4 linked regions of the Schizosaccharomyces pombe genome follow. Changing the gene in region 3 together with the main gene of any one other region gives a genetic interaction. Each region holds a gene or a part of one and is shown on either strand. Other genes may lie near its edges. The genes, in order: chp1, tma22, cph1 and hta1.

What was found.
Region 1: mutations in cph1 (region 3) and chp1 together harm fitness more than expected from each alone (negative genetic interaction), as found in Schizosaccharomyces pombe (2 studies listed by BioGRID).
Region 2: mutations in cph1 (region 3) and tma22 together harm fitness more than expected from each alone (negative genetic interaction), as found in Schizosaccharomyces pombe (2 studies listed by BioGRID).
Region 4: mutations in cph1 (region 3) and hta1 together harm fitness more than expected from each alone (negative genetic interaction), as found in Schizosaccharomyces pombe (2 studies listed by BioGRID).

What each region holds. Positions count from the first base shown.
Region 1 is NC_003424.3:2,210,305-2,216,196, forward strand, and holds chp1 (heterochromatin (HP1) family chromodomain protein Chp1), read right to left. Parts: upstream 4,042-5,892; 5' UTR 3,556-4,041; coding exon 673-3,555; 3' UTR 506-672; downstream 1-505. Other genes in the region: aim18 (chalcone related protein), read right to left, coding at 1-371; Rab11 family GTPase Ypt3, read left to right, coding at 5,511-5,892. UniProt on the Schizosaccharomyces pombe protein: Component of the kinetochore which plays a role in stabilizing microtubules and so allowing accurate chromosome segregation. Has a role in the RNA interference (RNAi) pathway which is important for heterochromatin formation and accurate chromosome segregation.
Region 2 is NC_003423.3:4,333,643-4,337,006, reverse strand, and holds tma22 (mitochondrial translation initiation factor), read right to left. Parts: upstream 1,415-3,364; 5' UTR 1,389-1,414; coding exon 1,320-1,388; intron 1,267-1,319; coding exon 763-1,266; 3' UTR 527-762; downstream 1-526. Other genes in the region: protein Dbl6, read right to left, coding at 1,805-2,857.
Region 3 is NC_003424.3:797,567-801,522, reverse strand, and holds cph1 (Clr6 histone deacetylase-associated PHD protein-1 Cph1), read right to left. Parts: upstream 2,157-3,956; 5' UTR 1,974-2,156; coding exon 759-1,973; 3' UTR 542-758; downstream 1-541. Other genes in the region: ATP-dependent RNA helicase Upf1, read left to right, coding at 1-213; CCR4-Not complex subunit Mot2, read left to right, coding at 2,923-2,975, 3,026-3,205, 3,294-3,956.
Region 4 is NC_003421.2:1,410,612-1,414,213, forward strand, and holds hta1 (histone H2A alpha), read right to left. Parts: upstream 1,571-3,602; 5' UTR 1,312-1,570; coding exon 913-1,311; 3' UTR 533-912; downstream 1-532. Other genes in the region: histone H2B Htb1, read left to right, coding at 1,873-2,253; exocyst complex subunit Sec5, read right to left, coding at 3,026-3,602. UniProt on the Schizosaccharomyces pombe protein: Core component of nucleosome which plays a central role in DNA double strand break (DSB) repair. Nucleosomes wrap and compact DNA into chromatin, limiting DNA accessibility to the cellular machineries which require DNA as a template.

The sequences.
Region 1 (5,892 bases), 1.4 Mb from region 3:
CTTCCAATTTCTTCGTCTTTCATACTCATTTCTAGCCCTAATTTCGGATCTACCTCCTTTTGCAATATAGTGTGAACGGTTTGAACATCTTTCTTCTGAATATACAATTCGATATCATACACATGAATACTTAGAAAAGAAACATATCGCGGTCCTGAACCTAACAAAAATAGTTCATCCTCATTATTAATTCTTTTTTGAACTAATCCTTCGTATGTTTGTTGAATTGTCTTGGTGACACTCTCACAGTATAGAGGGCGAGTTTGATACATGGCATTTATTGTTGCTACTGAGCTCCAAAAGACCAATCCTGGTCGTTTCGATAACCAATTCTTGCAAAATTGATAAGCAAAAAAACGAGTACCAAACATGTTGTTTAGTTTAAATACACACACACAGATATTAGCCGGTTGGTATTGGATCACATGTTTTTCCAAGAGATCCTAGATTTTAAGGAGGTGCGCAAAAACAACTAACAATGTTGAAACATACGGTTATTATATAGTGAAAAAATTAATTAATTAATTAATCGTCTAATTTCTAAAGAGTAGACTGTTATTTTCTAGTATAAGTCTTTGAGTTTAATTTTAAGTATTCCTATCCATTCGTAATAAGAAAAAATGTCAGTCTATATATCCCATTGTCCGCCGTATCCCAAAATAAATAAAACGACTATTTTAAACCAATAGCTCTCATAAAAGTCTCTTTGAACTCATCATAGTCAACAATGTCAAGGCCATTAACTGGCGTCAATTCATTTTTAAGCTCGTGAATCAATACGAACCTTCTATATTTATCATAATTTTTTTTCTGGTACAATTGTAGAGTGCTGGCTAAAGATACATCAGCGCTATCATCGATCACAATATCCCAATCCTGATACAAAGTCACGTTCTTCAGCGCTGGGTTGGTCAGGTAGCGCTGGAGTGTATTCAATAAGTTTTGAATTTCCAAGAGACTTTTGTCTGGATTGTTTGTTACAAAATAGCTCTTGACCATATCCACAATTGATGGGGGTAGAATTAAAATCCATGAATCTTTTTTAATCTCAAGAAATGGACTAATGAGTTCCAAAAGCCGTGGTGTTTTTATAAGTGCTGAGAGTGTAACAGATACCACCCCACCCTTAGGAAACATCGGTCTTAAGTACTGTGAATATGTCAACTTATCAAGGGGTTCATTGTTTTTCTTAAAGTCCGTACCCACGTGTGAATCATTAGGACTTTTGAGAGGGAGTGACAAACCAAATAAGAAAAATTTACAACTTTTCCTTTTCGCCAGTGTTAAAAATTGCAGTTGATCAAAATCATCCTCTAGTGAGACATTCAGGAAAACAAAAACATTCTGTGATAAAAACAAAGATTCCGGAATCTCGAGTCCTCGAAATGTCGGAATAGCAGCTTCTCTAAAAGTATCCTCCAATTCTTCTGCCTCCGGAGAAGGCTGTTTAGAGACAATTAAAATTTGTGTAGCTTGAAAAGCGCCTATTTTATGTAAATCGATGTGGCCTAATTGTAGTAAATAAGACAAGTAAGATTGGGATTTATGATATGGCTTTTTAGGCCTTAGATTTTTTGCCGACCATTCGACTAGGATTGATTCTAAAGGTTCAAAAATCACCATCCAAAAAGGGCTATTGCTTTGGCCTTGACAATCGTATAAATTCATTAAAGCATTATTATCCTCTGTAAATAATAATAATGTATAGTTACTACCCAGAACGATGCCAGCACCGTTGCCGCGGTTTAGTATATTTTTAAAGTGAGTCATATCAACATCGCTTCGAATACAAAGACTTCCGGAAAGAACTTTAGTCAAGCAAGTACCAAATACCTCGAGATATTGTGAAGTAACAAAACGTAAAACATCTACTTGCTTGCAACTGACTAAACTTCGTAACAACTGTTGATGTTCAGTTTCCGCCTTAAGCTTGGATATATCAAATGACAATTCTCCAGCATAGTAGAGAGATTTTCCGACTCGCAAAACGAATCTAAAATAATCAGACAATGTGCTTGCTGAAGAAAGATCTTCGGATTCGCTTATCGAATGGTGAAGAGAGTTATCCGAATTTAAAGTAATATTACCAGCCGGAACTACTTTGCTAGCTCCATCATTTTCAAAAGTTTGATCGCTTTTAGAAACACTGTTCCAGTCGTTATTAACAGTAGTCCAACTACTTCCGATAACACTTTTCTTAAGCTGCTTAGCATCTTCATTCGTCACGTTTACGTTGAAATCGAAATTTTCGTCCAGATCGACATTGCTAGCAAATTTTTCCGACTCAGAAAGGGTATCTGTTGTTGTTTGTGTAAAAGAAACGGACCTTGCATTTGCTTTCTTTGAAGGGGTTGTTTTTAAAATAGACTTTGAGACTTTACATTCTTCCATATCAGTTGATATCTTCCCTTTTACTAAAGTTACATGCCAACTTGGATGCCCTTTATCATACGCAAGTTTGGCTTGTTCGATAGAATCGAATTGAATGTAGGCCATATTACAAACTTTGTCTTTCTTTGGTGATTTGAGAAAAAAGACCTCAATATTTCCTTTGATAAAAGCAAAGTACGATAAAATATCTTGCTTCGTTAAAGAACCAGAATTATCACTAACTAATATCGTATGCGTTTCTAATTTCGGTGCTTCCTTTTTTATCTTCAAAGAGGAAGGAAGAGGAGTCGAATTGCTAAAAAATAATGAATTGGCAACATCATTATCGGAAGTTATTACTGGCGACAGACTTAAAGGGCTTGAATGCCTAAAGGTTGACAAGGGGGTGTTAGATTGTGGTGAATTCGCATTTTCAACAAAAGCGCCAGTATTTTCAAGATTGTTCGAATTTTGAATTCCGGGAACTGAGTTGTCAGAGTCACTGGGCATCAACATTGTGCTTTTAATTTCGCCATTTTTCAAAGGTATTGCATCGCTGGAGAGGCTTTTGGACAATAAAATACTGTCGGTAACTGTAGGCCACTCTGATAAGTAGAAAGGATTAACATCAGGGCTAGTTTCACCAAACGATGTGGATAGCGTGCTAGTTTTATCGGTCAAATTCCTCTCCTTCAATTCCCCTTGCATACTTTTTCTCTCAAACGCATCCTCATCCATTGTCTGATCGTCCTCTTCCTCTTCATCATTTGCGATGGTTACAATCCTTCGGGCAGGCTTCTTACGCATCTTTTTGAATTTTTCTTTGACTTTTTGAGATAATTGGGTAAGCTCGGATTTGCGCTTTTGTCTTTGTTGCCTCAATATCTCCTTTTCTCTCTTCATTTTCTTTGCCTCATTATCTTCCGCATCGAAAGGTTCAAGCAAGCCTTTAGCAATTAACTTTTTCCGTTTTTTCCATTTTTTAAGCACTTTTTCCGCACCGAATAAATTTTGTTCAGGTTCCCAAGTATTATCATACCAATCATAGCCAGCCCATTTTATATAATATTCGTTTATGCCATTTTTATTTACGCGGTCAGCAAGGATATCTTCCACCTCATAAACATCCGCGTCTGTCTCACCTTCATTCGAGTCAATATCAGGAAGTGGTTTAACAGATACCATTTCAAGGTAGCGGGTTTTTTGCTCACCTACGTGTCGCTAAGAGAGATTGAAGTATTACAACAAAAAAATATATAAAAGGATAAAGATATGAATTTAAAAAAAAAACGGAATTAAGCAAGATTGAATAGATTCCTTGACAAAACTATTAGCCAAAGTTCTTCCCTTTCAACTACTTTTATAGTTGCATGAAGGGCAGAGTATAACCTCTAAAATGGCTCAAATATTTCCCTTTTGCTTGTGATTTTTTTACCAATGGAACACAAGAATAACAACAGATAATTCCAGTAATGAAGCTTTTAGATGTTAGAATTTCGAAGTCTCGCTGCAATAAGCAAGATGGCTTATGCACTCGAATTTTGGAATCAAACAAAATCCGCGTGATTTTACCGTCGTGTCACCAACGCAAACCGTTAAATATACAAAAAAATAAGTTTTCGATTGGGTTTGGAGTTTTATTGCATTAATCAAGTGTGTGAGGTTGAGGTTGCAGATTTGAAGACACCTATGGAGACATATGTACTTTGAGAAAATACTCACTAACCACTAGTGTTACTAGTTGCATACATGAGGTACTAGTAGTCAAAAAACTTTGTTGGTAAATTGATAAATGTTTAAAATTTTCTCATTCCTCCTGAACTTCTAATTTTATTTTCTGGGTGGTTGTGTAAGTTAGAAAAACTTTAAACAAATAATGAATTTTGTTTTCAAAAAGCTACAATGAGTAGATTTTGAGCGCTGCAATTTATTAAACGATGCGTTTATACATAATACCTCTAAATGTGTTAACTCTATATAAACGAATTCAACACAACATATCATTCCAAAACTGGTAGTACAATAAGAAAAGTAAATAATTACTACGATAGAAAAAAATGATCGTGCCAAGACTCGAACTTGGGACCGTCTGCGAACTAGCATGTTAAGCAGAAATTATAACCATCTAAACCACACGACCTCTTTTGATAATTGCTTGCATTAATTTTATATAGAGGTTAACCAAGGGATCCATTTACTTATATTATTACGGAACTATGTTATTCGTTTTCCATGAAATGAACTTAATAAGAAAAACTGTTTATGTGCAGGATTTTTTTGTTTCTTGTTAACCCAAGATTTGCCAACGATAATTATTCGATGGATTACTCAAGTAACTTTCTGCATGAAGGATGCCTGCATGCCATGAGCAGCATCCAACATTGTATAACTTTTGCATAAAGAAAAAGATTTCAATTGAGCCGCCAATTTTATTCTTTCAAATTTTTAATTTCGATCATTGTGACCATTATAAAAGTGAGAAAAAGCTGCTGAAAAAACCGGAACTTAAAATATTCTTTCTTTGGCTAGATAACTTTGTAACTTGGAAATCAAAACATTGCTTTCAAAGAATTTCTACATCATTGTTTGATGCAGGACTAAAATGGGTATAGTACTGACTAATCGCACTGTAAAAACCCATACCAACCCGTCCATATCCAGTTTTGCGATTGGGTTCAATCGGTCATTCATATAATTGATAGTACTTGCATTCAATTGAGTACTTGCGCTTCTTTATATCAAAGGCATTTTAAAATGTTTACAAAATAGCGCTTTATAGTGAACAACAGCATAATGATTTTGATGATAGCAATCACTAAACGACACCAGCCTTCTCATGATTACGACATTCTTTGTAACGCAGTATAATTATTTAATGAATCATTGGAATGCGTTATATGCATTTTAACGGCCAGTGGCACTAGTGGACTTTTTTTTGTTACCATGATAAAGGATTATTACTTCCTTAGGTTTTCTGATATCCCTCTGCAACTTACCTACAACAAACTACGACTAAGTAAATTCTTCGACTATCGAAAGCAGGGTTCATTGTAATTTACAGGTATATACCTTGATATTATTTGACCTTAAATATTTGTTAACAAAAATTGTTCGTAGATTTACCGATAGAGAACTTAGCCATGTGTCAAGAGGACGAATACGATTATTTGTTCAAGACTGTGCTGATTGGGGATAGTGGTGTTGGAAAGTCAAACCTACTTATGCGTTTCACTAGGAATGAATTTAATATCGAAAGCAAGAGTACTATTGGTGTTGAATTTGCTACTAGAAATATTGTTCTTGACAACAAAAAAATTAAAGCACAGATCTGGGATACTGCCGGTCAGGAACGTTATCGGGCCATTACCTCAGCTTATTACCGTGGTGCTGTTGGTGCTCTGATTGTTTACGATATCACAAAACAATCTTCATTCGATAATGTGGGCCGCTGGTTAAAGGAGCTTCGTGAGCATGCAGACAGCAACATCGTTATCATGCTTGTTGGTAATAAAACGGATTTAC
Region 2 (3,364 bases), on a different chromosome or scaffold from region 3:
CTCAACTTCGTTGCTTTTGGCAATGTTCGAATGGTGAAATCGTCAACTTCCCCATCAGCATTGCTTAATGCGCCTCAACGCAAATGACTCAAAAACTTCAATAACGAAATACGCATTCGGATCTCTTAAGTGTTTGTATCGATATTAAAATCCTGTCCCCTGAAAGTTAAGTACACTGAAGAACTAGCTACTGAGTAATGTTATTATCACGGTTCTTCTTAGTTAATAATGAAGCTACAACTATTTGCATAGTAAATCAATTTTATCAAATTTAAAAAGGTGACAATGATCACAGCATTCTTTGTAGAATCGATTACTTTGTCAAAATATAATTTATTCCTACATTCAAGACAACATTTTCTTAATGAACTACTAAGCTGCCTTATTTTGTATGCTGATAACGTCCAAAAAGGCGTAAAGAAACACAATTTCAATTTTTAACTGCTAAGAAATTCATGGCATACACAACGAATGCTAATACTACTCTATAGCCTTGGCAATGAAATGTAAGTAAACAAATGGTGACTTCAAATCATCATACTAATACAACAGGCAATAAATTGTAAAATATTGATAATTAGGCATTTTTTATATAGAAACATTAAAAAACATGAGTCTCAATAAATTATTAAAAACCGGTATCCTAACTGTGCAACCATTTAACAGAAAATTAGGTTGTACAAGATTGTACAAGACAGTTTATGATAAAATAGCCCCAAAAATAGCATACTTAGTAGTATTTTTAAAAAATAAAAATTAAGATTACTGCTTCTTCTTAGATTTCGTATCTTCGACAATTTTAATATTGTCTTCCGGAACCTCTTTAAACTTTTCCAAAATAAAATCAAATATATCATAATTCAAATCACCCTGTACAACAATTTCATCCTTCTTATCAGCTGTTTTAGTGACACTGGCTCCGGTCGCGAACTTGTTGGCCAACATCTTAGCAGCTTTTTTCGTTTCGATCCCAAATGCGTCAAGACCTTGAACTGTGGTGACTCTCTTTCTTTTAGTTCTTTCAATGGTTTTTATCAAAACCTTGGATGCCATACGTTTGGCTTCTTCACGCTCAACGCGCTTTTCCTCCTTCGTCAATTTTGCCGGTTGTTCTTCTGCATTAGAATCTTTAGTTCCGCTAACATTCAGAGTGTTTTCAAGGTCTTTGCTTAAGTCTTGCTCACCGTACAATTTATCATAAACGTCCGGGTGAGATGATTTAAGCCATTCTTTACATTTTTTTAAAGTGCCCTCAAATTCGCAGTACTACAACGCATTCATAGTTAATATAATTATAAAACAAGTTGTTTATTACGTACTTCCACGGGCAATGTACAAACATCGCAGTATAATACTGATTTTAACTTCGGGATGGTTTGTGAAGCCATTATTTGAGTTTCTTGCAGTATAGGTTAAAGTAGAGACTACCTGGGGGAACGAAAATAGAAAGCGAGATTCAAAGAGGCGAAGCCTAAATATACTATGAGAGTAAAATATGCTTAAAAGCTGTAAGTTATTCGTTAAATAAAAAGTAATTCACATCTCAAGTCGTTTTAAATTTTAGAATATAATGTTATGCTGCTGAAACCGTAAACGGATTTTTAGGACTTTTGTTTACATATCAAAACAATGATATGATAACAAGCTGTTCTTTATAAAGAGTAATAAAAATAACGGCGCTGTAACATTGTAAACTAGATTCAACATGATAAAAAGCTACTACAAAATAAGTTGCGTAAAAAGATAGGAAATTAATTATTCAATTATTGTACAAATAAATACACACTTCGCAGCGTGAGCTAGTTCATAACTTTAAATTCATCAAGACTTCGTGAGTATCCTTAATCTTCAAGGGGCTGACCATAACAGAATGAATAGGAGAGCATTTCTTATCCAAATCATAATAAATGGAAGGAGATACAGCTCTTCTCTTCGATAAGTCGATTATTTCTTCGCCCCATCGAGTTCGCTTTTTCGAGGATGGGGTACGGGATCTGGAGTGATTGCTATTCGGAGTTGACATTTCTGTATCCTTAAAAAATACAGAACTGGAAAGCAGAGGAGATATGGGCATCTCATTCGAAGGCTTAGTAGATGGATTGTCCGTATTACTACTGTCCTCTGCAGATGACTCAATTACATCAGAGTTCTCAACAGCTTTCAAAGATCCTGATGGTGCGAGAACATTACCATTTGCACCTGTTATAGAACTGTAAAACGGTACACCCGGACCTACCATTGCAGGCGAAGCAGCTCTAGAAACAAAGGATGATGATTTTTTAGGCTCGAAAAACATCTTGGAAAATTCCGATTCACTACGGATTTCCAACTCCAGAGGAGATGATTCTTCATACAAGGCACTGGCTACGCGTTGGAACATTTTCGGTTTGGGAAGCAAAGACTTTCTTCGTAACACAGGACACAAAGATTTCGAAATTCTTCCAGAATGAGAGGGACTACAAAGGTCCTTTAAATTTTTTACTTCAATATGTTTATTTGGAGTCTTAGAAAACGAACGCTGATCCAAATTTTCATTGTAACTCAACTGCCTAGTTCCTCTAGCCATGGCAGCGGACGGCAAGTCTGTTGTAGAGTCTGATATGTACTCGGTATCATCATCTTCCATATCGGTCAGTTCTGAATCAAGTGGAAACATAGATTCATCAGTTTCGTCGCTCATTGAGTAATTTACATATCTTAATCCGATTGACGGTGAAGCTTCAGGAGAAGGGGCTGTAAAAGTTTGATGCAAGCTTGAGCACCTAATACTTTTCTCTCTGTTTCTTACAAAAAAGTTCAGACTTGAATTTGATGTTGCTGTGGTCGGTTTTCCAGGTGTTGGATGAAATGAATCCATTTCGACAGTATATCCCTACAAAATACCACAAAGACTTAAAAATAATATAAAGGCCCTATATTAAATAATCATTCTATATTTTATTGCATATGCTTTACAATTGAAAAAAATTCGTATTGACGAGGTGACGATAGGCTTCAGTTAAGATCTCGGGAGCAGTACAAAACATAAGCTTAAACATAGTTAATTCCAAAAGAGGATTCAAATCACCATTCTCATAGTAAAGCTTAACAGAAATTAACTTAATCAATAAATGAGAATTGTATAAGCCGCTTCTTTATACATAGTAAATATTAGGACAGACTATATTCAAGTAAGGATATTGTTGATACACTCATCAATTTTAATTTGCTTCAGAGATGTAAAGCAGGAAATTCAAAAGTTAAAAAATCGACAAGTGAAATTAGCTTATACATTCTGGATATTATCACTGTCCCTCTATATAACTGAAATTAAACTGAATGAAATAAATATTGCACAAATAGTCTAGTGTTGGTAGAATAATTA
Region 3 (3,956 bases):
GTACAAAGATCACTATCTCCTATACAGAATGCCGGTTCTGCCATGTTACCTTCGTTTTCTAATCTTCCGAACTTATACTCTTCCTCGTATCTTGAAGAATGGAATGTCTTTGCTCAATACAAACGAAGAGAAAGCAACGCTACCGACTTTGAAGACTTTAGAAGTCAGGTTGGTGATGATGAAAGCAAGTTCGACGAACCTACTAGGTTCTAGTTAATAAGTATTTGCTTACTTGTAATTACGAATGCCAACATATCTTTTATTTGTTGATATTTTTGGTGTTCAAGTTTTATGGACCGTTTGGTCTGTAAGCGTTTTAAACCATTGATATGGCTGTTAAATAGACTTTAGTAATAGAACCTTTCCTTATCACTTTCTTTTATTTTATTCCTCTTTGTCTAGTAAATGCATCTTACTCATATATACTTATATATACTTATATATACTTATATATACTCACACGGTACAATACGCGTATAAAATTTAAGTATTGAGAAGTTGTTAGTATAAAATAGAACTTTTGCCCTATTAGGAAGGATTTGCAATGATTAATTGCATAACGAAAATTTTTTAAAAGCCTTAATGGAGAAAAGTAATGTAAAATAAGCCAATTACAACAGATAGCCAGTTCTAAGAGGTTTTATAAATACAACATTAGCAAAAAAATAACAGAAAACAACCTTTTCTGACGATTTGAACACGACAGATTAGATTAACGTAGTCTGATTTTATACAAAATGTAAAAATATCGTAAAAATTCAAGTGCGTGCCTTATTGAATAAAGTGCGTAGTGCAATAGGTAGGTTTGGGTGCGTTCTCGCAGGAAGTAGTGCGCTTTTTACGTCTGGAGGAATAACCTCTAACTCTCGTTTTTTCCTTTCATTATTAAACTTTTTAGCTTCTATGCCAATCGCGTACAAAAAATCTTTGATGAGACCGTCTTCTGAAACTTTGTAGAGACAACTCACGGGTAATCTTGGGAAATAGAGAAGTTCATCACTTGGAAACTCTCCCATAAGAAATTGCCATCCTGAAATCATGACTTTAGGATTAAGAGTATTAGAAGTTGTATCCAACACCAAGGGCGTCCTTATCACCACGGCGTTTTTTGGTACTCTCATACCTTTTTTTCCAATGGAGTCATGAGAGCATTTTTTAGCATGCTCTTTACAATTTTTATGATAGAAGGTGTCACACAGCTGGCAACCATAGACCCAACAAGCACCCATTGATGGCTTAGAGCAATAACCACAGTAAGCTAGATTAGTGATAGAGGAGCCAGTCGGCAAAGCAGAAAACTCGTCAGTATCCATTTCTCCTTCAGTTTCCTTATAAGCACCTGTATCCCCACGAGATATTCCATGGAAATAATGCACAAGGTCGTCGGGCAATCGGTACTGCGAGGGATTCTGAGAATCAATCCAATCGTAAAGCTGGGACCATATACTAAGAGGGTGCTTAGGAGGGTGATGCGATTTGATTGAGCAAGTCACACAAAACCAAGATCCTTCTGGAATATTTTCAGGAGTCAAGGGAGGTTCCAAGCATGAAAGATGGAAACTGCAAGGACATCCCTCGCAACAAATAAAAAGACCTCTTCCTCCGCATGCACTACAATAGTCGACGTTGCGTATAGTCGCTTTTCGTCTCCGTCGCTTTACAGGAGTTTGTTGAGATTCGGTTTCGAGATGACTTTTTAGGGAACTACCCCGGCTTTTTTGAATAGGTGCTTTATTTGGAGATTTATTCGAATAACTAGCTTTTTGTTTTTTCACTGGAGAACTTATATCCATCTCTTTGTCTTGGCTAATTGGCAAGACATTTACATGGTCAGTTGAAGAGTGAGTTGATGATGTTAAAGAATTATTTTTAAAATTAGAAGGGGGACCTTCATTTACGAAAGAGTCGCCATGACTATTATTAGAAATTGAAGGTACTGTAGGTTGAGATGAATTGTTTATAGAGGATGCCATTAGATACTTCCCATGCTATGAGCAAAGCAACATGTAATACGCGACGGTTAGCACTTAGAAATATCAATACTATCCTTAATGTTTTAAGGAATATTAAAGGTAAAATTAATGGTTATCGTAAAAAAGAACAATGGTCGAGGTTGTAAGTATATTATAGTGAAGCAACGCTGTTATGAAGATGCTAAGTTACAACAAGTCTTTGAACGCCAAACGTCGTTGCAATTAGACTTAGAAAACTACTTAAAGATATCTGATTTTCGAGAGGAGCATTTAGTATAAATGATTATCATAAGAATAAATTCCCTTCTATATGTAAAATATTTGAACATTTTGTTAAAAACTATTATCCATTTGATGGAACATGGAGCGTAAATTAAGTAGAGAAGCACTTTATGCCTCTTATTATGTTGTTCATCGTTTTTTCGTCAATTCAATATATTCACTAATTACTTAGAAGATGAAATAACTAAAGAATTTGACCACAACGTGAAAAAGTTGTATATATAATACATTCGTTTACAAACGTTTACTGCAATTAATTATCAAGATGAAATTATAGACGGTGAAACTTTTAAGGGTACTTTTTGTTGTTCAAACACAATTCCAAAAACCTTTGGAATAAGAATTTTCTCAAATTTCTTAATTCATGTCTATTAATTGCTATTTTTCGTGTGGTATATACTGTTCAAATCCAACCTCTCACCTAGTCATTGCCTCCTTCTTTTACACTAAGTTGTAAGTAAACTTATAACCAACCACAACTCGGTTTGCCCTTTAAAAAATATTTGTTTGAAGTCTAATGAATATTAAGGGAATTAACTAAATTAAATTAAAATCAAAGATTTGATTTAAGATATTTGAAGACTTCCTCTGTATTGTATAACGAGCGACCTTAAACAGTATCGATTTGGAGAGCACTGTGACGGAGATTTGACATATTTCACACAAAATGTTAAAAACGCAAGAGATATATTCTTCAGAAGATGAGGATGACATGTGTTGGTATGTTTTACTAGCCGATTAGTATCAAAATTAACTGACAATTGCAACAGTCCTCTATGTATGGAAGAAATTGATATCTCTGATAAAAACTTCAAACCATGCCAATGCGGATACAGAGTTTGTAGATTTTGCTGGCACCATATCAAAGAAGATCTAAATGGCCGTTGTCCTGCATGTCGCCGTCTGTACACTGAAGAAAATGTTCAATGGCGGCCTGTCACGGCAGAGGAGTATGTAATTCAGATTATAGAATTCTTGTTTAAGCATAATCTTGTTTAAATTCACTTTTATTTTTAAACATGTCGCTAATGTTTTTAGATGGAAGATGGACTTACATCGAAAAAACGAGAGGAAGAAACGCGAGAAAGAGAGGAAGGAAGTCGAGCTTTCAAACAGGAAGCATCTTGCAAATATTCGTGTTGTACAAAAGAACCTTGCCTATGTAAACGGCCTTTCTCCCAAAGTTGCAAATGAGGAGAATATCAACGTTCTGAAGGGACCTGAATACTTTGGTCAATACGGAAAGATTATTAAAATTGCAATAAATAAGAAGGCTGCTGCAAATTCTGCAAATGGTCATGTTGGAGTTTATATTACATACCAAAGAAAAGAAGATGCTGCACGAGCGATTGCTGCAATTGATGGCAGCGTAAGTGATGGGCGACATCTTCGCGCATCTTATGGTACCACTAAATATTGCACTTCTTATTTACGGAATCAGCAATGCCCCAATCCTTCTTGCATGTATTTACATGAACCCGGTGACGAGGTGGATAGTTATACTAAAGAAGACTTGGCATCTCTTCAACATACCCGTCCTCTTTCCACTAAACCTAATGTGGTAAATGGTGCTACTCATTCTCCTTCTCCTTCTCTTCCATTCAAAACACCTCTACTTCCTGTTACGAAAACACCGTTAGAAGAGGCTAATAGTAGTCCAGCTGCACAAAATCAGCATATTACAACAGTTGATCATGTTCA
Region 4 (3,602 bases), on a different chromosome or scaffold from region 3:
AGAGACGTACAGCAATCACTATCCATAAATAACGATAAAAGCAGCATTATGGGTAAATGAATTTGTGAAATTCACCAACTTGCCAAAAATTGCTTACATATTCTCGTTAACTGGCTTTACCGGTTCCGGGTACAATTCATTAACCAATCGGTTGGACGTAATGACTAAATAGCCCATAAGAAATATAGACAGAAAAAAAGGGAAAATAAACGTGAAAATTACCAAATCTAAGCATTCTCAATTTATGAAATGCTTGGTCTTTTAGTTGGAATTGTGCTGTACTGGTGCGACCGAGCTTCGAAATCGGCGAAGGAAAAAACTCAAAAGAAGCAAACGTCTACCGTTTCACGAAAGAAGAGTAAAAAAACTGCATCGAAAAAAAATTCTGGAAATTCAAAAGCATTAATTGTAAAAAAAAATTAAGTACTATTCTTTTGCATGTACTGCTCGATTCAATGTTTAATGACACTCCTTTCATCAATCTGTTCATCTCCACTCTACAATCTATTTATTCATTTGATACATACTCTCATATAGGATTTTGAAAAATATACTCATTACTATACAATATTATAATTAAGGGAGAATAAAAAAGAAATAAAAAAAACCAAAGGAGCCAGTTCAAGTAGGAATTACTTGTGCAAAAGCCCTTCAAGTACTAGTAAAAGTAACTAGTAGAGAATGACTTGGCTGCATCTAAAACATCCTTAAAGTTCAGGCATAACGAAAACAATAACAGCAAAGAAAAAGAAAGACGCAAAAAGTTCAAAAGGAAAAAGAACCAAACATGGTTTAGAAGCGAGAAACAACCAAAAAAAGTATTGCGGGGTTGTAAAAAAAGAAAGGTCCTTTACAACTTTTCAATGTCTTTCCCTTCATCCTCTTTCAAAATGTTTTACTTGACGACTGACTTTACAGCTCCTGACTAGGCTTTCCAGTGCGACCAGAAGTTTTGGGCAAAAGATGGGCGTTGATGTTGGGAACAACACCACCTTGAGCAATGGTAACGTGACCAAGAAGTTTGTTCAACTCTTCATCGTTACGGATGGCGAGTTGAAGATGACGGGGAATGATACGAGTCTTCTTGTTGTCACGAGCAGCGTTTCCAGCCAATTCGAGAATTTCAGCAGCCAAATATTCCAAAACGGCGGCCAAGTAAACGGGAGCACCAGCACCAACACGTTGAGCATAGTTACCCTTACGTAACAAACGATGGACACGACCAACGGGGAAAGCCAAACCGGCCTTGGCAGAACGGGATTGAGCAGATTTGGCAACAGCAGCCTTACCACCAGATTTACCTCCAGACATGACGAAAAATACTGAAACTAAATAAAAAAAATAAAAGTTTGAGTTAAAAAAAAAAGATTTTTCCTTCTTTAATGAAAAAAGATAACAGTCAACGATGAAGCAGCGAATGGATCAAATTTGGTGAAATTAACAGAATTTTCTCGCAATTTCAGCCTTTACGGACAATCAATCTCCTTATCAACTAAGGATCAATTGTTTATATCAATTTCAATACGTGTATGGATCAAAAGGTATCCTAAACAACGAAAAGTCGCGATATAGGGAAAAGGAGACATAGGAGCGCGCACCCTTCATATATATACTAATTCTAATCTTCCGTATAAGCACGTCTAACGCGTTCTTGTAGATGACGTTTCCGCGTCGCATGGCTAAACACCAGGGTTAGGGTTGTGATGCCCAAGTTGTATATAACCATCGCGTCGCCTGCAGGCATGTTAGTTAATACCAACAACTTGATATTGCACGAAAGTTTAGGATTATCAAATTCCTACAATTGCAATTACTTAGTTCAGTCCATCAATTTTGAGATTCTCTCGACAACCAATTTTTAAATCGTAAAAAATGTCTGCTGCTGAAAAGAAACCCGCTTCCAAGGCTCCCGCCGGTAAGGCTCCTAGGGATACCATGAAGTCTGCTGATAAGAAGCGTGGTAAAAACAGAAAGGAAACTTATTCATCCTATATTTACAAGGTGTTGAAGCAAGTTCACCCTGATACTGGTATTTCCAACCAAGCCATGCGTATCTTGAACTCTTTCGTCAACGATATTTTTGAGCGTATTGCCACTGAGGCTTCCAAGCTTGCTGCTTACAACAAGAAGTCCACTATTTCTTCCCGTGAAATCCAGACTGCTGTTCGTTTGATTCTTCCCGGTGAGTTAGCCAAGCACGCCGTTACCGAAGGTACCAAATCCGTCACCAAGTATTCTTCTTCTGCTCAGTAAGCGAATCGCACGATTGTGCAATCGTCTTTTAGTCAGCTGATGAGTTTCCACAGCCTTCCATTTCGACAATGACAACCTCACGAAACAAAAGGGGGTAGGTTATTTGCTCTTTTGGAAATATATATTTTCCTCCTCCCTTTTTTAACGTTTTCGTTCCCTCCTCTTTTCCATTTCCGCCTTTTGTATCGCATTCCTATTTTATTCCCCGTACAATGACGACAACAACAACACAGGTGCAGCACATCACGCGATAGTTTTTTTTACATTACACATGGTTCTTCATTTCTATGACCGGTTCGTGGAGTTGAAAGGTGTTTTGTTTTGCACAAGTCGTACTGGATCAAATTGGGTTTTGTGTTCGATTCGACGGGGACGAGATGCTTTTTCTTCCCTTGGTTAATCTTCTTCCCTTGTGCATTTTATAGCTATCACCACTGGTTGGAGAGTTGAGTTTCTTTTTTTTCGACTGTTTGTTCCTTTCCGCCATGTATGGAAATAATTTGTGTCATTGGCACTCATACAGACACTTCTCACACTCCATTTCCCGTTCCACTCCTGGGCATCTTGGTTTATTAATGGATTTATTATTATTATTATTGTTTATGTTGGTGATTTAGATTGATGGTGAATGGAATATTATTATTCACATTCAAAATATCCCAAAGAATCCAGTGTGCGAAGTTGATGTGGTTTGGTATGTTTGCTATGCAAATGATTTTATATATGTTTGGAAAGATTGTAAAGTAATTCTACTATTAATAATAATATAATATTATGAAAAGATCATTTCAATAAACTGAAACTTGAGTCGTGTTTTCGTAGCTGTTTCCGTAGTCGGACTTATGGAGCTGGCTTCTGCCTTTCTTTGGATTTGTTGTAGCAAGTCGAGTATGGTAGGTGGAAGGCATTTATTTAAGAAATGCGAAATACTAGGAATGTCGTGGAAAAAGGCATATGGTGAGTGTAAAGCAAACTGAGCGAGCATACAAGACGTTGTGGCTATCATCCAATCTGCCGCTTCATTAGGAGGCATGGAGTCTTTTAATTCTAAGTATATGGTTTCTAGAGTGGAAAACAATTGGAAGGTCGGTGGTTGAATGCTCAACTTGGATATGGAAGAGGGTGTGGTATTGGAAAAACTGGTATCCCGTATGGCCAACAATTTATAAAGATCTTGCAAGTTTCGAAGAGATTTTGAAATTCTCGGATCGAGGGAGGGAGAAACCTCGTTAAGAGGAAATGTCTGTAAGAGAAACTTTTGGTAAGGTACCAAACGTGAACGCAAGTTTAACAGTCGAGTTACGAAGTGTAAAACATCAGAGCGGGTAATGGAGGTAGAGAAAACAGGT